Lonchura striata: one gene and its partner. The protein of the gene in region 2 purifies or fractionates together with the protein of the main gene of each other region. This does not show direct contact. Links are inferred from orthologs where the notes say so. Each region holds a gene or a part of one and is shown on either strand. Other genes may lie near its edges.

Region 1 (10,383 bases), on a different chromosome or scaffold from region 2:
CAGGGAGCACATAAGAAAATCCTTTCTCCATCCTGTCTCCATAACAGTCAGGTGTGGCTTTAGTTCAGCTGTGGATTTGGTGGCACAGCAATCCAGGAAGAAGAGCCTACAGCAGATTCTTGGCCCCTGTCCTGCCAGTTCTGTCAAACTTGTTGCTTCCTCTGCTATAAATTCTCCAACTGCTTCCTCTAGACATGCTCCATAAATCCTTACCCTTCCTGGGATTCATACACACACTGACAACCTTCTTCAAACCACATTCCTGCACTAAATACACTGGAATAACTGCAGCAGCCCAACTCAGGGCCCCTCCTGAGCCTCTAGGCCCAAGAATAACTACATTCAAAGGAACAAGTGAGGTTTTTCACAGAAAGAGTTGAGTTTTAACCAAACCAGGGCGTGCTTGCTGGGTTTCACTGGTCTCTGATACTCACGTGGTGCCAGACTGCAGAAAGGGAATGCGGACACCCTCCACCACCACCACATTCTTCACCCCAGTTTTGCCCAAGGTCTTCTTAGTCTTTGGCTGAACTGGGAAGAGAGAAGTGATGGTGACAAGAATATCAGCAATTTTCATATAGATCCTGCAAAGCTTCTAGAAAACAAAGGAAATTGTCCTTTTTTGGTGTGTAAGTGAAAGGCAGGGAAGGTAGGAATCCTGGAATCATGGAATGGTTTGGGTAGGAAGGGACCTCAAAGCTCATCCATTGCACCCCTGCCATGGACAGGGACACCTCCTGCTATCCCAGGTTGCTCCAAGCTCCATCCAACTGAGCCTGGAACACTTCCAGGGATGGGGCCTGTGCCTCATCATCCTCACAGCCAAGAATTTCTTCCTAATGGGAAGAAATTTCTTCCTAATGGGAAGAAATTCTCTCCCCAGTGGGAGAGGTTCAAAACAAGGGATGTCATGACCTGGCATCATTCCACAGGCCAGTGCCAGGACAAAACTCCAGCACTGTCTGGAGATTCCTTCAGGCTCTTCCCAAAGCCTGGCGATGATGGGGAGCTGCTGTCCAGGCCTGTTCCCAAAATCCCAAAGCATGAATCACCTGAGCAACCCCCACAGTGAACCCAGAGCGTGGATCACCCCAGCCACTCACTGTGGGCTGAGACTAAAAACTGGGAATGGTGCTGGGAGCTGGGGCAAACTGGGAACGGGCACTGGGAGCCAGGGGCAGACTGAGAATGGGCACTGGGAGCAGCCTGGGAATAGCACTGGGAGCTGGGGGCAGACTGGGAATGGCCCTGGGAGCTGGGGGCAGACTGGGAATGGCCCTGGGAGCTGGGGGCAGACTGGGAATGGCCCTGGGAGCACACTGGGAATGGCACTGGGAGCTGGGGGCAGACTGGGAATGGGCATGGGAGCAGACTAGGAATGGCACTGGGAGCAGACTAGGAATGGCACTGGGAGCTGGGGGCAGACTAGGAATGGGCATGGGAGCAGACTAGGAATGGCACTGGGAGCTGGGGGCAGACTAGGAATGGGCATGGAAGCAGACTAGGAATGGCACTGGGAGCTGGGGGCAGACTGGGAATGGGCACTGGGAGCAGACTAGGAATGGCACTGGGAGCAGACTGGGAATGGCACTGGGAGCTGGGGGCAGACTAGGAATGGGCATGGGAGCAGACTAGGAATGGCACTGGGAGCTGGGGGCAGACTGGGAATGGCACTGGGAGCTGGGGGCAGACTGGGAATGGCCACTGGGAGCAAACTGGGAATGGCACTGGGCGCCAGGGCACTCAGCAAATGAGAGGACTCTGCTGCAAATACTGCTTTGCCTGAAGTTTTCCTTGCTTGCAGCTTTTCAGGAACACCCGAACCACCCTGCATTCTGCACCATTTCTAAGATTTAAGTGGAACAAGACTGTGGGAAGTGGAGGCAGCTTCCAAAACACCCCTGTCTAGCACAGACCCACTGAGATTCTGGTGTTTCCTCCTTACCTGCAGCTTGGAACGGCGAGGAGCAGCTGAGTGATCGAGTAACTGGAAAACAAGAAAGGGGAAAAAATACCAGAAAAATGTCAGAAACAGTTCTAGTCTCTGCAAGAAGGGTTAGGAAAGCAGATAGTGTCACTCTAAGACACCTGAGCACCTGTGGGGTGTTGGGTGGTTTACTCTGTGCAGAAACCTGGTACACTTTCTGTTAACTGTTAACTCAAGACTCCTCCCCATATGATGCAGGAAGGGACAAACAAGGCAACAATGTAATTAGGATTAAAAAGTAAAAAATGTCAGTCTTTTAAAGGTGAGAACGGGTATAGATTCAGACCCCAGCATCCATTCCAAACCCAACACTTCAACCAGAGGTTTACGGCCACCAATAAAATCTAAAGATACTCACAGGCCCCAGCAGCCCAGGCTGAGGACACGGGGAGGTTCCGCAGGGCAGAGCTCAGCATGGAACTCATTTTGGGATCTAGGGAAAGGCTGGGCTCAGTCCAAGCTGCTGTGTCCAGAACAATCCCAAGGGAAGCGTCCTGCCTGCCTCACACAGAGCCAGCAAGGTGAGGGGCACACACTGCAAGGGCAGCAGCAGCACAGGGAATCACCTCCCACCACGCTTGTGCCTGTGAATAAACACCGCCCTGTGAGCTTCTCAATTCCCTCCCAGGAACTGCTCCTCCACTTCCCACTGGAAAATTGTCCCAGTGCCCAGGCAGCCCTGCTGCCAGCAGCACCTCCTGACACCAGCAGTGTCCTTGGCACCCCTGCCCCTCGTTGGCCCCTGGTGCCAGCCTGAGGATCCTGCTGTGCATCCCCACAGCAAACACAGCAAGTTCGCCCCCAAAAACCCCTCTGAAGCTCTCCCAAATCGGGTTTCCCTATAAACAAACCCTCATCTGCAGTTTATTGCCGAGATGGCCCTCACAGCTCCAGGACTTTGCTTGATCCATGTCAACATTCATCTCCCTCTGTCACACTTTGTGGGTTCAAATCCTGGCACTTTCTCTCCCAAGCACAGAGTTTTGCCATGGAGGGGCACAGGAACACCCACAGTCCCAAACCCAGCCCTCTGCAGTTCCCCATAACTCAGCACAAGCTGCCAGTCACCCCCTTTGACACCTCCCAGCTGCAGCTCCACACCTGGAATGTGACCCTTCCCAGCCCCAGGCTCCTCCTGCCAACAAAAATCCCAAAACCAGACCTTTCCAAAGCATCCTGCTCCTCCTCCACCTCTGCCAACCTCCCTCCCCACACCTGACTGAAGTTTTCCCCTAAATTTTCCCTGCCCAGCTGACAGAAGTTTCTCCCAGGTGTAACCTCCTCCTCCCTCCCACACTGCACAGCCATCTCCTCCCGGTGCACCCCCGTTCCTGCCCCTTCAAAACACCCCAAACTCCCTCATTTTTGGGAGCCAGTGCTCCCCTGGCACCCCAAGGGCTCAGCCCTGCCCACACAAATCGTCAAGACAAAGCTCCTTGCAGAGCCAGGATTTGCCTGGATTCCACAGCTCTGTGACCCTCACGGATCCCTTCCAACTCAGGATAATCCACAATTCCATGAACAGCCCCTGCTCCCTTCCTGTCCCCACACACCCCTGACACTTTCACACCGCAGCACCGCCACCTCCACCCCGGGACTCCCACCCCAAACACACCCGTGCTGCTCTCAGCCACCCCCAAACCCCCTCATCCACCCAGGGCCAACTCACGACCCCTGCTGTCCGCCCAGGACCAGCCCCTCAGTCCTTTCATCCATCCAGCACTGACCCCCTGGGACCTCCTCACCCTTTCCCAGCCCCCCTACCCCATCCATCAGGAATGAACCCACCAAAACTCCCCTCACTCCCATTCGGAACGAACTGCCCGACTCCCCAAACTTCCATCCAGAAAGAACCTCCAACTCCTGTCACGTCTCCCCATCCATCAGAACGAACCCCCCAACTTCCCTCACTTCCAACTGGAATGAACACCCAGACTCCTCTCACATCCAGAACGAACCCCTCAACTCCCCTCACTGCTCCCCGTCCATTCAGAATGATCCAGACTCGCCTCACTGCTCCTCGTCCATCCAAAAGGAAACCCCGAGTCCCCTCACGTCCACCCAGAACGAACCCCCCGCCTCCCCTCACTTCCATCGAGAACGAACCCCCCGACTCCCCTCACGTCCCCCCTCCATCTGCCCCCACCCCCGGCCTCCCTTCATCCCTCCCCGCCCGCTGAGGACAGACCCCCGACCCTCTGCTCCAGCCCGCACCGCGCCTGACCCCCACCCTCCTCCTCAGGACCGCCTCCCGACTGCTCCCACCCTCCCCGCGCTGCCGTCCACGCAGGACGGAGCCCCTGACCGCCCCGTGCGCTCCCGTCCCTTTCCGTCCGCTCACCTCCGCCCTCACCGCGCTCTGCCGCCGCCGCCGCTCCTCCACCCAGCGAGGACCCCGCGCCCCGCCACCCTCGGGCTGCCCGCGTCCGCCTGACCCGCACCTCTCCCTCTACCGCCGCCCCGCAGCCCGTCCCCGGCCTCTCCCGCAATCCGCTGCGGCCCGGCGCGGGTCGCACCCACCCGAGGCTCGGCGGAGAGCGGAGCGGGAGGCGGCGGCGGGGCGGCGGCGGCGGCGAAGCGCGCGGGCAGCGCGGCGGGCAGCGCGGGCGGGGCGCGGCGGGCGGGGCGTGCGCCGTCAGGCCCCCCCCCCCACCGGCGGCCTCTCCTCCCTCATTCGACCTCGGCGAAGATGGCGGCGGCGGTGCGAGCCATCGGCAGCCTCGGCCGCCTCCCGGCCGCCGCCAGGGCCGGCCCGACGCGGCACACCCCGCCCCGCGGTGAGCCAGGGCACGGCGGGGAGCGGGAGCGGCCGCACTGCGGGGGCCCCCGCCTGAGGGGAGCACCGGGGGATGGGGGCAGTGGGGGGTGAGGGACGGGAGGTGCCTGAGGGGGTATTGAGGGAAGGGGAGCGCTGGCGGGCAGGGGGGCAGTGAAGGGGCAGTGAAGGCTCGGGGGACGCTAAAGGAGCGAGGATTGGCGTGGGATGGGGCTCACTGAGGAGAAAGTTTTGGGGGGACGGTGAGGAGGCGCTGCAGGGGTGGCGCTGAGGGGGCGAGGGGCAGGGGGGCACTGAGAGCCGCGCTAAGTGGGCGAGGGCCGGGGTGACATTGAGGGGATGAGGAACAAGGGGTCCCAGAGAGGATTTCATGGTGCTGGGGCAGGAGTTGGGGGTGTCTGGGGGTCACAAAGGGTTCTTGAGGTGATGGCTGTGAGGAGTTCGCAGGAAGGCTGTGAGGGCCGGGACTGGGACAGGGGATCCCCGGGGCAGCTGTGGGGTGGGAGGTGTCCCCATGTGTGTCTGTGCCCCGTGTGAGGGGTTTGTCCCCAGAGTCACCCAAGGGGATCCCTGGCAGGTCCCAAACATCCCCCACCCCGAGGTTTGTCCCCTCCGTGTCCTGTGGTCTCTGGGGGTTGTGTGCCCCCATGGGGACATCCTGCTGTGCCAGTCCTTGCACAGGGACACGCTGTGGGAATCTCTGAGCAGTTCTTGGGGGGTCCCAGTGAGCTGGCACTGATGGGGGGACACACCCTCCAGTCAGATCCCTGCACATGAGCTGAGCCACGGGGAGAGAGTGTCCTTGTGCCCTGACACGTGTGCCTGTCCCCAGTGCCCCGAGTGGCTGCTTGGAAAGGAGAGGGTGTCCCCATGTCCTTGGCAGCCTGGGTGCTGTGGCTGCCCTCCAGGCAGGCAGGTGTATCCATGGGATCCCTGTCATCCCTGTGACCCCGTAGTCCCACTTGCCTGGGGGGAGGCTGTCTCCAGGTGCTCCATGATTTCTCAGCTGAGAGAATTGGGGATGTTCAGCCTTGGGAAAAGAATCATCCTCTGGGGAGAGCTCAGAGCCTGGAGGGCTCCAGGAGAGCTGCAGAGGGATTTGGGACAAGGAATGGAGGGACAGGACCCAGGGAATGGCTGTGTCCAGAGGGCAGGGCTGGATGGGAGATTGGGAATTAGGAATTGTTCCCTGTGAGGGTAGGGAGGGGCCGGGATGGAATTCCCAGAGCAGCTGGGGCTGCCCCTGGATAATCCCTGGCAGTGCCCAAGGCCAGGTTGGACACTGGGGTTTGGAGCCACCTGGAATAGTGGAAGGGGTCCCAGCCATGGCAGGGGTGGCACTGGATGAGCTTTAACATTCCTTCCCATCTAAACCATCCTGGGATTCAGTGATTCCATGATTTTGTGGGGGCATCTCCCTTGCCAGCTTGGGCAGGGCTGTGGCTCTCTCCTGCCTCTGCACGGATCTGGCTTGGTGCCTCCTGGCCACCGAGGCAGGGAGTCCCCAGGAGCCCTGGGAAGGCCAGAGGGCCTGGCTGGGAAGCTCTGGAAACCTCACATTTGAGCACTTTGAAGGGCCTCAGAGTCTGGTGTTGATGTTGACCCAAACTCCAGCTCTATTTCGTTTAAACCCAAACCTGAGCTCAGCAGTGCGGGGTTCAGAGCTGGACTCGGTGCTCTGAGAGCTCTTATCCAACAAGTCCATGGTTCTGGGATCATGGTGAGCAATTCCTGGTTCAGGGATTATGGTGAGCAATGCCTGGTTCTGGGATCATGGTGAGCAATCCCATGGTTCTGGGATCATGGTGAGCAATTCCTGGTTCTGGGATCATGGTGAACAATTCCTGGTTCTGGGATCAGGGTGAGCAATTCCTGGTTCTGGGATCATGGTGAGCAATCCTGGTTCTGGGATCATGGTGAGCAATTCCTGGTTCTGGGATCATGGTGAACAATCCCATGATTCTGGGATCCTGGTGAACAATTCCATGGTTCTGGGATCATGATGAACAATTCCTGGTTCTGGGATCATGGTGAGCAATTCCTGTTTCTGGGATCATGGTGAACAATCCCATGGTTCTGGGATCAGGGTGAGCAATTCCATGGTTCTGGGATCATGGTGGACAATTCCATGTTTCTGGGATCATAATGAACAATTCCTGGTTCTGGGATCATGGTGAGCAATTCCTGGTTCAGGGATTATGGTGAGCAATTCCTGGTTCTGGAATCATTGTTGTGGCGCGGCATGTGGCACAGCAGATCATGGTGAGCAATTCCTGGTTCTGGGATCATGGTGAGCAATTCCTGGTTCTGGGATCATGGTGAGCAATTCCTGGTTCTGGGATCATGGTGAACAATCCCATGGTTCTGGGATCGTGGTGAACAATCCCATGTTTCTGGGATCATAATGAACAATTCCTGGTTCTGGGATCATGGTGAACAATTCCTGGTTCTGGGATCGTGGTGAGCAATTCCTGGTTCTGGGATCATGGTGAGCAATTCCATGGCTCTGGGATCATGATGAGCAATTCCTGGTTCTGGGATCATGGTGAACAATCCCATGGTTCTGGGATCATGATGAACAATCCCACGTTTCTGGAATCATGGTGAGCAATCCCACAGTTCTGGGATCATGATGAACAATCCCATGTTTCTGGGATCATGGTGAGCAATCCCACGGTTCAGGGATCATGGTGAGCAATTCCTGGTTCTGGGATTATGGTGAACAATCCCACAGTTCTGGGATCATGATGAGCAATCCCATGTTTCCAGGATCATGGTGAGCAATCCCACGGTTCAGGGATCCTGGTGAGCAATTCCTGGTTCTGGGATCACAGCTGTGTTACGTGCAGCCTTGGAGCAGGTTTGTACGTGACAGGGAGCTGCAATCACTGAGGAGGAGACTTGTGGCAACTCCAGAGAGTTCTCAGGCTGCTGCTGGTTGGAATTCTTGTTCCAACTGGTGAAGCTCTCCACAACAAACAGCCCTGGAGCTGCTGTGAGGACACTACCACCGTTGCTAATGAATGAATACCCTCGTTCTGCCTTGCAAAGCTTGGGAAGTGCATGCAAAGCTCTCAGGGGCAGCCCAAAGGCAGGGAGCAGTCAGGAGCCAGGTGAGCTCCAGGGCTGGCTGTACCTGCTGGGCCACATCCGTGTGCCACCAGGTTCCCAGGGTGGCTTGGGAAGCTCAGTGTGCCGGGAGTTTCCCTTCTCACGGGTCACAGCTCCGTGCTCAGCTGGCAGGGACAGCTCAGGCAGCCTGAGCTCCGTGCTGCTGGGGCTTGGGCTGCTCCAGGACTGGAAAAAGGCTTTTCCCTGAGCCATGGAGGCAGTTCCCAGTTCAAGGCGTGTGCCACGTGCCGGTGAGTGGAAGGGTGGGAGCTGAGGTAGGAACAGGGAGAAGAGAAAGTGGGAAGGAGCAGGCTGGGCTGTGGGGTGGGTGTTGTCCATTCCCTGGTGCATCCAAAGTCCTGAGGGCACCTGGAGTGTTGGTGTCCTGGTGCTGGACAGTGTTTGAGCTGGAGTGAGCCTGGAACTGATTTTCAGGGCATTAACTCTGGAATCAGTGATGGGACACAGTGGAAGTCGGAATATGGGCTTCTGCTTCCTGCAGCATTTTGGAGGATTTTTCTGGCTTCAGTCTTGGCACGTTCCCATGGCAATGCTGAAGGGATCAACACCTAAAGCAGATGTGCAAGGACCAGGACAAGGACTTGTGCTTCCTAGCAAAAGATGTTTTCCACAAATATTCTAGACTTAAAATAAACCACTGTCAGGCTACAGAAAGCTCACTCCAGTGTTAACCAGCTGGTGCACTTCTGACAGCGCCTCTCCCAAAAGAATTTATATTCAAGTGGAGTGATATTTGTGCAGCCATGCCCTTGATTTTTTTTTTTCCTACTTCATCTCTTCTGTTTTGTGAGAATGGAAAGGGAGAGAGGAATTGAAGGCTGAAGGTTTTCATGGAAGGAATCTGAGAACTGGTGTGGGAAAGGAAAGCCATGTAAAGAACAAAAAATCTGGAATCCCAAACTGGTTTGGCTGGGAGGGATCTTAAAGCTCATCTTGTTCCACACCCCTGCCACAGGCAGGGACACCTTCCCCTATCCCAGCTTGCTGCAAGGATTGAATGAATGAATTCAGGGAGACAGTTCAGTCCTTGCTTTCTCTTTAAAGAGGTTGCATGGCTTTTATTGGGTTAAAATACTGCTGGTAAAGGTGGTGTTCTGCTGGGCAGCATCTCCCACCAGAGGAATTGTTGTCAGCCCCCACCTGGTTTGTGGGAATTCAATGTTTGTGCTTGTTTGCAGGAGTACACAACAAAGTATTTAGGGAAATTATTGCTGGATGGAGCTATCACATGTGGGTATTAAATATTGCTGAGGAGCTTTGGAGTGGGAACTGGTTCACTCTTTGTTTATAAAATGCTGCTGTGGGCACATGACACACACACACACACACACACACCCCAGAGCTGTTTGCTGGGACAGCCTGACTCTGAATTTCCATCCCCACGGCATCACACTGCATATCCTGGGCTCAGGAATGGGAGCAAAGGTCAGTCCCGACTGCCAGCACCCCAGACAAGGTGGAAAGGAGGCCAAAGTGCAGCCCTGAGCCCGTGTCACGGGGCTGTGGCGGGGGGAGACACCTCTTGGGGAGGCAGTTTATTCTCCTGGCCTTGGGTTATCCTCCCTGCTTGCTGCTGGGAATGGGAATGTTTCATTCCTGAGGGTTTTGTCAGTGCTGAGCAGAGCCCTCCCCTGCCTAATCGGCTGTGTGCTGGCTGGTAGATAGATCCATGTGGAGGTAACACTTTTCCTGGGATTCAGGCTTAAAGCAGCTTTGGCAGGGATTCAGCCTGCATCTGAGTTTGGGGATCCTCAAGCTTGAATGGAGCTGGGGTTCATTTGTGTGCTGAGAGATCGGGGGGCCCAAACAGAATTTCTGAGCAGGAAAAGGAGAGTCAAACCTGTGGGCAGAACTTGTTCATCTGGTGGTCTGGGGTTTCTGAGGGCTCTGGAAGAAGAGGTGCTTGTGTGCTTTGTGTGTCATTAGTGGAGCTGGATCCAAGAGCTGGAGAGGCACAAGGGCCTGGAGGCACAGGACAAGGAAGAACAGCTCCCCACCTGCAGAGCTGCCCCAGCCCTGGGGATTCCAGCAGCACAAGGACCTGGAGCTGCTGCAGAGAGCCCAGAGGAGCCCCCAGAGCTGCTGCAGGGCTGGAGCCAGGCTGGGAGAGCTGGGGGGGCTCACCTGGAGAGGAGAAGGATCCAGGGAGAGCTGGGGGGGCTCACCTGGAGAGGAGAAGGATCCAGGGAGAGCTGGGGGGGCTCACCTGGAGAGGAGAAGGATCCAGGCAGAGCTGGGGGGGCTCACCTGGAGAGGAGAAGGATCCAGGGAGAGCTGGGGGGGCTCACCTGGAGAGGAGAAGGATCCAGGGAGAGCTGGGGGGGCTCACCTGGAGAGGAGAAGGATCCAGGCAGAGCTCAGAGCCCCTGGCAGGGCCTGGAGGGGCTCCAGGAGAGCTCAGAGGGACTGGGGACAAGGATGGAGGGACAGGAGCCAGGGAATTTGGCTCCCAGTGCCAGTGGGCAGGGCTGGGTGGGAGATTGGGAAT
Region 2 (10,290 bases):
GAACCTCCAAAAATGTCTGAGGGACATTGTGAGTTCTGACATTTCCTCACAGTCAGTTTCCCTAGAAAAACAGGTTATGTTGTACCTAACTGAATGTGAGGGGTGAAAAATACACACTTGAGCAGAACTCAATTAATTGTATTAATTCATCAAAGTGCTTTAGTCTGTGGTGTTTAATGTAGCAACAGCTGAGGATAAAGTGCCAGCTGAGAAGTTCTATTGGGGATGCCAGATGCCCATATTGTGACTCCACACTTTTTATTTTCTTTGCTTTTCAGTCTCACCTATTTTTTCCCTGTCAGAATTAAAAGAAAAGATAAACCAGAAAAAGCTTACAATATAATAAACTTGCATCCATAGCATTCTGATGTGACTGATGTTTGCACCTTCAACAGACATGAACACAGATTCAGGTTGGAGACTAAAATCAGGGCCAGATTTTGTGGCTTTGAGTCCTTTCAATGACTGCTAACTCCCAAAGTATTCCTTTATTTTCTTCCCCAAAAGAGGACTCTGTTAGTTTCTTCCCAATATGAGAGGGGAATATAAAGCTAATTACAGCCTGATTGAGACTCTTTCAGTTTCCAAGTGAAACAAGAGCATCCTTTCCTTTATAAAGAAATTTGGAAGTGTTAATATGGGATATCAAAATGAGTTTTTCTTCTCAAAGAAGTCTGGGATGCTTATCCCTCACCCATTTGCCTTGGACCAGTGCTCAGGAACAGGCTGTAGAGCTGGCATTCCCAGGAACAGAGTGTGCTCCTGCTCAGTGCCACAGACAGATGACAATGACAATGAGGGACGGTTTTCACCTGAAAAATCTCTTTCAAACCAGTTAACTTCAGGACATAACCTCTTGAATTATAAGAGGAAATCATCTACTTGCAACTTTTGCAGGAAGTGGGAAGGAATCTTCTACACATCACCATAGGGGCATGCTGAAAGGACAGATTTTTCATCTAGTTTTGGGGACCATTTTGAGGCATTTCATACTATTAAAGCTGTGCTTATAACACATAAATCAGATTCAAGTGCATGTCGATACTCTTTATTCATTGCTGCATATGTTTTCGAGAGTGGGAAAAGCTTTACTGAAAGTTCCCAGAAAGGATAAATGTACTTCCTGGGGCAGACCCAATTAACAGGAGTTTCTCTAACGAGTTTATGGCATTTATTTCATTTTTGGCCTTTAAGACTTCTTTCTACTGGGAAATCTCTGACTCTTATATAACACAAGTACAGTCTGGCAGGGTGGAGTCATTGGTAAGAGGTCATTAAGCAATACATTGCTTTAAGTTGCTGCTGTAAAATTGTGTGGTTCACTTCAAAACACAGCACAGAGTTGCAATTACCTGCATTAGCCTGATTCTCTGTCTGAAATTACTCAGTTGTTCCTAATATTCCTAGTACGAGCCACACTGGGGAAATGAAAATTCCATTTGAAGGGAATTGGTCTGTTCCACCAAAGGTCAAAGAGCAGCTTGGCACAGCCTTGGCATACACTGCTGCACTTGTCCTCTGTGCAACCCCTCTTCCTCTGCTCCTCAGCATCCAGAATTGTGATTGTCACTGCCCTGGGGCCTCAGTCTGGCTCCCTCAGGACCTGGGAAGGTCTTGAGGCTCTGTACATCTACTGAACGCTATCCCTGATGAATTAATCCGAGCACACAAATCCCAAAAGGTCTTCGTATTTTGGGAAGGCAAATGGTGTCTTACAAAGTCAACTGAGATCAAGCTGGATTTGCCAGTTGTACATAGATGCCCCAGCAGTTTGAAGGGATTGATCTGATATTTTTGGTGATCAAAACAACCTGACACGTGCTGTTTGTGCATGTCAGGGAAGCTTCCTGGGGGAACGTGAGCAGAGGGGAGGAGAAGATGCCGGATTTCCAGTGAAGGGAGAGCCAGGGAAGAAGTAAGTAGCTGCAGATAGCAAGGTGTAATCTAGTAAATCCTCTGAATAACTTAATTAGATTTGATTCAGCAAAACACATGTCCAGCTTCTGCTGAACACCACTCAGTGTTGGGGAGGCAGGGGCTTTTATGAATTCTGCAGGAAACTGCTCTTGCAGAGATTAAAGGAATTGGGCAGAAGAGGTACTGAGATATTCCTGCTTTGATGAAGATTTTTAATTTAAAGGTGCCAGATTTGCTGATGCTGCCAGAGAATCAAAAGTATCATAAACTGGTAAGGGAAAGGGGCAAAGGGTTTCATTATGTGAAGCTGGGACGAGAGAGGAACCTGTAGCCCAGTCAGGCTTTGCCCATCTCTTTTCCTTCCCCACTCCCCACGCTGTGTGAACTTTGCACTTGATGCATAGGGAAAAAAGTAGAAACACCACTGAATTCAAGAGAGAATGCACTATTCTTTTATGTGGCACCAAAGATACAGGGCAATTTTGAATTCTGGGTTTTTTCCTGTTTAGGTTTTGCTGTCAGACTCCAGGTTGCTGTAACTCAGCAGAGGTCCATTTTGGAACCAGCTGGAAGTCTGGTGGGTGTAATTGCATTGCTGCCTGTACAATTCTTGACTTGCATCAAGGTGAAAAAGAGAGGCAAGTCCACTGCATTGCAAAAATTTTGGAAAGTGCTAGAGAAACAAAGATGTCTCTGTGAAAACTGAGGTTGTAGAAAGCCTCTCTGTTCACTTCTTGTTTTAAAGGGTAGCTTTCCCCACTTGTGCCAGACGATTTGGCTCTTCTTCATCCTTCTTGCTCCATAATGCTTGGATCAGCTTTTCAGTGGGCAGTGCTTTTTGTCGGGACTGTCAGGAGGTGATCTCCAGAGCAGGATGGATTTTCTGTCTTCCTTTGGCTATCTTGCTGGCTGGCTGTGTGCTTTTTGCCTCCTCTGCATTTTGTCTACTCATCTTTGTGTTTTACTCTGCCTTTTCGTATCTTTCCCAGTTCTAGGTCTTTCTGACTGTTTTTGGACAATCTTTTGTTTACTTTTTGCCAAGTTCCATTCTTTTAGCTGAGGATGTTCAGAAACTGGATCTGGTCCTCAGATATAGACAATCCAATTTATAATGGATGCCAAAAATACATTTTCATCATGACACTTTGAGGATGTTTATTTCAATTTACTTAAAATGTGCCTAGGTCAAATCCTGCATGTGTATACAAACTTCACAGCAAAAAGAGACGTGCCTCACCACTTAAGATTTCTTTGAGCAGGATTTGATCCTGCACAGACTTGCAGATTTCTGTTGAAGAGCTCATATCAGCTTGTGCTCATTTTAAATTTGTCTACTTATAAGCTTCTCATTATGATAGTATGTCAGCATCCCAAAGGCAGGTGGTTGGGTAAAAAACACTCTTAGCCCTGTTTGGAGTTAAATGACCTGCTGGTGGTCATTTAATGCCTGAGGTTCACAGCAGAGCTTGTAGCTGAGCTGTAGTTCTGAGAAGAGCTGGAGCTGGCAGTGTGAGCTGTGCTGGGCTGGCAGCCTGGTGTCTCAGCTGGGAACAGCAGCGAGCGTGCTGCACTCCCAGGATTTTATCAGCAGTGACGTGACCCCAGTCCCTGCTGCAGGCACTGCCACCCAGCCAGGGAAGTGAGATGTATGGCAAGAAGGGAAATACTCGGGCCTGTGAAAAATCTGTAGCTCAGGGGATGGCTCCAAGGCCAGAGCCCAAGGGCTGCAGTCCCAGCTCTTCCATTGCCAGCTGCTGTGTGAGTCCACAGAGCTTTGTGCTGCAACCTTGGGGTGCAGCCACAGCTCAGAGAGCTTACCCAAAGTCACTACAGGCAGAGCTGAAAGTATATGCCACACGTATTCAATGGCAACACGTAGCCGATCCCAGGATTTGAGAAGGAAAAGAGGAAATTCGGTGCTATTTTGGTCTCCTGTATCACCCACCCCAAGTCATTCTGTGCAGCCAGACCAGATAAAAGGTTTATGACTCTGCCTTTCTTCTCTATCAAGTACTTTGTGTCTTTGGAGTTCACATTCCTGGAGTTCGTTCGCCTCAGCAGACTCAAGTGACACTGTTGTTACCCGTGTGTCTGCAAGTATTTGATTTTCACTCAGGTTTTCCAAGAGGAGGAGGTGTTCCTCCAGTCATGGCAGTGTAGGTACAGATTCCTCTGCTGCTTGTTTTCTGCCGTTGTTGTACTCGGATTAGTTAGATGAGACTTCTGACATGGATCTTCAAGTGATATGTTCAAAGCCTGGGGAGAGGAAAGGGCTATGGCTATAAAATGAAAATAAATCCCCAGGAGTATGGGCTGAAATAACCTCATGACACATAACCTACTTGGTAACCTCTTAAGTGTGCAGTACTTTTGCATTTACAAAAGAGTTTTCATTTAAAAACAGGGTAAGTCAGGCTTCATCCATGGCAGATTTTTCCCCACACAGCAAGCTCCCAGCTGAGGCATATTTTGGGACTCTGTAAGCCTCGGGTTTCTAAACTAAGAGATGATACAAGAGGCCAAAAGGCACAATGTCATCTGCAAGAGAATTAAGATTTGGACTGTATGGGTGTATCTGACTCAAAGCTATTAACTTTTGGTGGTAATGATGTGTCATCTCAGTTATGATCTTCATTACAAAATTCTCCCTGTCTTTGCAGGGGTTTTCCCTGTCCTCTCCATCTGCTTTCATAGATGAATCTAGGAAGTTTTAAGAGGAAATAATTCGGTGATTTTATAGGAAAGCAGCAACTTTCCCCTACTGCCATCCTGCTACTCCCCATGGCTCCTGTTTTGCAGTCACTTCTCCCATTCCTCAGGATAATAAGCAGTTCTGAAGCAATGGGATGAACATCACCAGTTTCCCATGAAGTTTCTCACATCTGGGTGACTGCCTAGTCCAAAAGCTACGATCTCTCTTAAATGTTGCTGCGTTTTGGGGGGGCACAGTGATGGAGTTTGTGTGCAATTTCTGCAATCTTGTAAGGTTTAAGCCCACAAGTGCTCCAGCTGAGGCACGGGCAGACTCCCTCCCCCTTTTCACAGAGAACAACTGCTCTCCAAAGGCTCAGGAGCGACCGCTGGGTCTTCTGGCTGTCGCGAACAGAGTCAGACGCCGGCCAAAAGCCTGCAAGCTCATTTGGAGCAGCACACGGGCATTGCCTTGACGCACAGGTGATCGCATACGTCTCAGTTCTGTGGGAAGCAGCTCAAAACGCGGCTGGCAGAGCTGCAGAGCACCAGCTTCGGGAGCTGGCAGGCTGTTGGATGAAGTAAACTCCAAAGCTGAGAATTTGTCGTAGACATTTGCCTCTCTTCCCACATCTGCTCTTAAAGGGGCACTTTCAGCCTTCCCAGGACCTTGCTGGGACTCTCCGGCTCTCAGCTGAACTGCGTTCTCCTCGCCGCTCTAAGTGTGGAACGATTTAAGTCTTTACGCGGCCGTTGTCCCGCCCCGCTGGGGGAACCCCGGGCAAAGCACCGGGGCCCGCCGCAGACAAAGAAGGGCTCGCTGCGCGCTGTCCTTGCCCAAGGACGGCGGGCGGCCCCGGAGCGCCGTGCGCGCCCTGCCCGCCCGGGGATGCTCGGGGATGCCGGGGATGCCCGGGATGCTCGGGGATGCCGGGGATGCTCGGGGATGCTCGGGGCGCTCCGGCGGCTCCGGGCGCCGCGCAGCGCCCGCGGCGGGGGCGCGGGGCGGGGCGGGGGCTGCGCCCCGCGCGGGATTGGCGCGGGCCGCGTGATGCCACGTCCGGCGGGGGAAGCCCTGCCCGCCCGGAGCCGCCCCGCCGCCGCTCGGCGCGCAGGTGGAGCGGAGCCGGCACAGCCCAGCCCAGCCCGGCCCGGCCCCGCCGCGGGAGCAGCCCCGCAGCCCGCCCCGCGCCCCGCCCCGCCGCGCTCCGCCCGGCCCGGCGGCGCCGCAGCCGGCAGCATCGCGGCGGGACTGCCCGGGGATGCGGCCGCGCTAAGAACAAAAGCCCTCAGCGCGCTCTCGCTCCAGGGCTCTGAAGCGGCGCGGCCGAACTTGGATCTCTGCCCCCCTCGGCCGAGCCGCGGCGGCGTCCGGGGCCGAACTCGCCGTTGCCTTCCCCGCACGCCGCGGGCAGCCGGGCTCGCCCGCCGCCCTCGCCCGCCCGTCCCGCCGGGGCTGCCCGCGGAGGGGCCGCACCCGGCCGCCCCCGCGCCGCGGGACCTTGGCTTTGCCCTTCGCTCGGCAGGTGGCGGGGCCAGCGGAGAAGGATGCGTGTCTTCCCGTGGGGATTTTGGCTGCTGTGTGTCGCCTCCGCCCCGGCTCGCGGTGACAGCGGCAGCAAGGCGAGGAGCTGCGCCGAGGTCCGGCAGCTGTATGGAGCCAAGGGCTTCAGCCTCAGCGGCGTGCCCCAGGCCGAGATCTCCGGTGAGTGCCGCGGGGCGCCGGGGGCGCGGTGCCCGGGCCGGGGCCGCTGCCAGCCGGGAGATGCCCGGGCACGGCTGGGAGCCGCGGGCTGGGGAGCGCTCGCCGCCCCACGCTGGAGTTTGTCTCGGCTCGTGGGCGGCCAGAAGTCGGAGCGGGGAGGTTTCCCCGGAGCCGGGCTGCCCTGCCGCTCTCAGCGCCGCCGGCAGCCCTGCCCTGCCCGCAGAGGGGCTCTCCCCGGCGCTGGCGATGCGAACGGAGCTGCGAGGGGGGCTGGTCGCGCCAAGTGTTCAGCGGTGGTTCTTTCTTTTTTCTCATTGTCTCGTTGCTTCTGTGCTGAGTACAACTGAAACGGGTTTCAGGGTTTTGATTCGGAAATCGGAATAATCGGAGTGTAGTGGGTTTCGGTGTCAGAGGTGGAAAGCGCCACAAGGTTGTGAGAGAGGAATTGATCTATTTAAATCTTCTTCTGGATGGGAAGCAAACGTGTAAATGATATTGGCTACTTAATAAAAATGAAGCAGGAGTAAAATGACCGCGTCAAACGTGAAGTGCAGGGGAAACCTGTGTAACCTACGCTAGAGTGTGTCCTCTTGCTTTCATTCTGGCTTTAGATAAATCTTGGTTGATTTCCTCCTCTTTGTAGAAACAACTGAAATAGCAAGGAATATTCAAGGTCTGGTTTGTGTGGGTTTGGGTTTTTTTCTTTGAAGGCTTGGGGAAAATATGCTGAGGCATTGTAGGGTTTTCTAAAATTCTCATCAAAGTTTTGATACACCAACTTGTGACCCATATCCGAGAGCCTTCTCCTCACTTGTGGGAGCTTCCTCCTTCAGACAAAGCATAAAACATGCAGGCGTACGTGCCAGAGCCAACCCACAGGGACACCCCAGTAAAACTGCAGTTTGTACTGCACATCTAAGCTACACAATGCCTTATGCTGAATATTTCATCAGGTAATTTTTCAGAGAAACCAATTTGTTGTCTGACCAATGAAAGGAGAAGGCTGAACCATATACATCCCTCATAAATGCGAATAAATTAATGCCTTCTTTGTCAAGTTACAACTGAGAGTAAATTTCCAAAGTAAGACGAGCAGCCCTCAAAGTTAAACAGTGGGGAGTTTCAGAACCGTTTGAACATCACTATTAATGGCATAGCACTTCAGCTGAGCAAGAAAGCGGCTTTTTATGAGTTTGCATCTCATTATTGCAGATGTGAATACATTAGCTGTCGTGTTTCAAGTGGGAAGTTCTTGGAAGGCTGAATGTTTACAAACACGCTGGAGGTGGCTGCAGCACTGCGCACAGGGATAGTACTACGGGCAGCACCGAGGCTCGCAGCAGCTGCGGTTAAAAGGATCACGTATCGCAGGTCAGCTGCCAGTAAAACACCTTGTACCTGCAAATTGTTGAGGTTCCAGGAGTGTCAGGACACAGATTTCCAGGATGCAGGAGTTCTGTTTCCTGCTGTGCGTTGGTACGAGCATACACACTGGCAGTCACAAGCCACAGTGGTTAAAATTGGAGTATCAAACCGGAGTCTCTGGCTGTTACTGCAGACAGGGAAACTCTGTAGATAAATGCCATGAAAACTTGAGGAATACTGCATGGAAAGTAATGTGAAGAAGTGCTTGGAGGAAGAAGGTCCCACACATAGAGCCGCTGCTGCTACCATTAGCCCAGTGTTTCAGACAGCTGCCAGACTAGATGATTTTCATTGGTAATTACCTCCTGACCGATGCACATTCAGGAATGCATTTTTGTGTCAGTGTGTTACTTGCCCAGTGCAGTTAAAACATCAGTGAGCGTAGATATAACCTTAGAAACGTCCTGACAAAGCAGTGTTCTGTATCCTCTTTGCTTTTTAGCAGCTGTGCAGGTTAATGCAAAGGTTGGTGCCAGTTTTGCTTGTCTCCAAGAAGAGGCATCTCAAGAGCCTCCTTGCAGTATCCTTATGTGTACCAAGTACAGGACCATGCAGTTTATAATTCCACATTTGCTCGTTGTTTCAGGCTGGTTTCAGTGGCAGTGGTTCAGCTTGCTGTCACTTGAATGGAGCCTTCTCAGGTGACACCACTGACACCTGTGAATGCATCCCCAGGCATACAGCTGAGGAGGGGCAGGTGTCTTCTGCTGTGTCTCAAGTGAAGGGAGAGGAAAGGGTCTTAGGTTGCCAGGGCAAGTCAGATGAGATATTAGAAAGAAATGTTCACAGAAAGAGTAGCTGTGCATTAGGCTGAGCTGGTGGAATCACTCAGTGATGTGCATTAGGCTGAGCTGGTGTAATCACTCAGTGATGTGGATAAGGGGCTGTTATGGTGGTGCTGGGTTGATGACTGGATGAGATTATAGTGCAGGCTTCCAACTTTGGTGATTCTGTGGTTGGGCAGCTTTTGGATTAGTTAAGAGATGTTGATGAACTGAGATCAATGTTGTCTCCTATTGGACTATGCTGAAGTTTCCTGATGGTGGCCTTCTTCATGTTTTAAGAGCTGCCCCATGAATCATGTTTTTATTTTATTTCTGAGCTGCCTAGAGACAAAATCCCTTTCCATTGTCCCTCTCTAAGGAGACCTCGCTGTTCCTTCCCTCCACTGCTTGCCCTGAAGCAAAGGGGAACATTAATTTCTTAGCCCTATGACCCCAAAGTGGTGCTGACCTTGCTCCTGTCTGCCTGTGCCTGGCTCCAGGCACTGCTTGGGGTGTGTTGGTGTCACAGCAGCCCAGCCCCAGGAGCCAAACCCCACACTGCACCCCCAGAGCTGCCCTGCAGAAGGAGTTCAGTGAGCTCCCAGCACGCAGGCTCTGACTCAGACTGAGATTGGCTGTGTTTGTGTTGGGTTTAGAACACTCACTGCACGCTTTACACCTTCTAATCTGTATTCTTAGTTATGATTTAAGAGGATTATGAATAATCTAGTGTCTCCACAGCTCACCAGAAGGTAGTCCCTGCTTGTGGCTGCATGGATCAGCTGGAGAAGAGTCCCACAGTTATTAGCTGGCTAATAGATAAGCATCTGATGCAGGGATAGACTCTTGGCTTACCAGATTTCTCATGAACCACCTAGACAGGGTATCCTGGTTTTTTGCTAATGTTGTACAATGCCTTTAACATGTCTAAGCACTTTAAATGTGTCAGGTGCTGTTATTAAGTGTGTTTAGGGAGTACACAAGGTGTTATATCTCAGTACTTTGAAGTCAATGGCAAAATTCCCGAACACGATAGCAGTGTCTGCTCGTGTTAGCAATCCTGACAGACAGCTGTGCACCCAGAGTCTTGGGTGAAGATCTGCCTACCAGAAAGTTTCTAATGCTGGGGGTAAAGCCCCCTACTCCTTGAGTTTGGGAAAGTTACACCACTTGCTCCCATGGGATGTGCTACTAGCTCGATCGCAGCTTTCCTGCGTGTTGGGAGAGCGTTCCCACTCTCCTTTTTGATGACCCACACCCCCTTTCTCTGATTGCTACAAAATAAGGGAAACCTTATTGTAAGTTGGAGAGCTTCCAGTGTTTTCGTTTCCTCTCGAGTTTTCTGGAGGTGGCAGCTGTTCCTGCTGTCTCACATTCCTGCAGGATCCCACTGCGGGTCCCTGCTCTGGTGGTGAAGGGGAGGCATACCCTGCTCTAGGGTGCTTCTTAGTGCCCCTCTTAGGGACTGGTTACCTCAGGCTCACAGCATGGCTTGTGATAGAGTGAGCCCTCACCACCACGAAATACTGCCCTGTGAGGGGGGTATCCCGTTTTCTCTGACTTGTGGCAGTGTCTTGGGGTTACTGATGTTGGGTGGGTGACTGCTCCCCAGTATCTCGAGCACAGGTAGTTCCCTCATGGGCTGGAGAAGACCTAAGGGTTGTGATTTGATGTGAATGTGCTTGGCCCTTGTTCGCTGTTTGGTTTGAACTTCTGCTTTGGTTTGTTTATTCCTGAGACTAATCGTCTAGCCACTAGATGTGGCTTGTGTTAGGTTGATCTTGTTGA

Evidence for each region.
Region 1: the proteins of GPC1 (region 2) and HADHB purify together in Homo sapiens (co-immunoprecipitation; 3 studies listed by BioGRID and IntAct, counting the BioPlex papers as one, with this or other methods). This does not show direct contact. The link is inferred for Lonchura striata from reciprocal best matches to the Homo sapiens genes GPC1 and HADHB.

The regions. Positions count from the first base shown.
Region 1 is NC_134605.1:113,198,541-113,208,923, forward strand, and holds the start of HADHB (trifunctional enzyme subunit beta, mitochondrial), read right to left. Parts: upstream 4,410-10,383; 5' UTR 4,329-4,409; intron 4,320-4,328; exon of another isoform or gene 4,253-4,319; intron 2,572-4,252; 5' UTR 2,413-2,571; coding exon 2,346-2,412; intron 1,988-2,345; coding exon 1,946-1,987; intron 532-1,945; coding exon 435-531; intron 1-434. Other genes in the region: HADHA (trifunctional enzyme subunit alpha, mitochondrial), read left to right, coding at 4,677-4,764. UniProt on the Homo sapiens protein: Mitochondrial trifunctional enzyme catalyzes the last three of the four reactions of the mitochondrial beta-oxidation pathway.
Region 2 is NC_134612.1:2,666,269-2,676,558, forward strand, and holds the start of GPC1 (glypican-1), read left to right. Parts: upstream 1-6,043; 5' UTR 6,044-6,156; coding exon 6,157-6,313; intron 6,314-10,290. UniProt on the Homo sapiens protein: Cell surface proteoglycan that bears heparan sulfate. Binds, via the heparan sulfate side chains, alpha-4 (V) collagen and participates in Schwann cell myelination.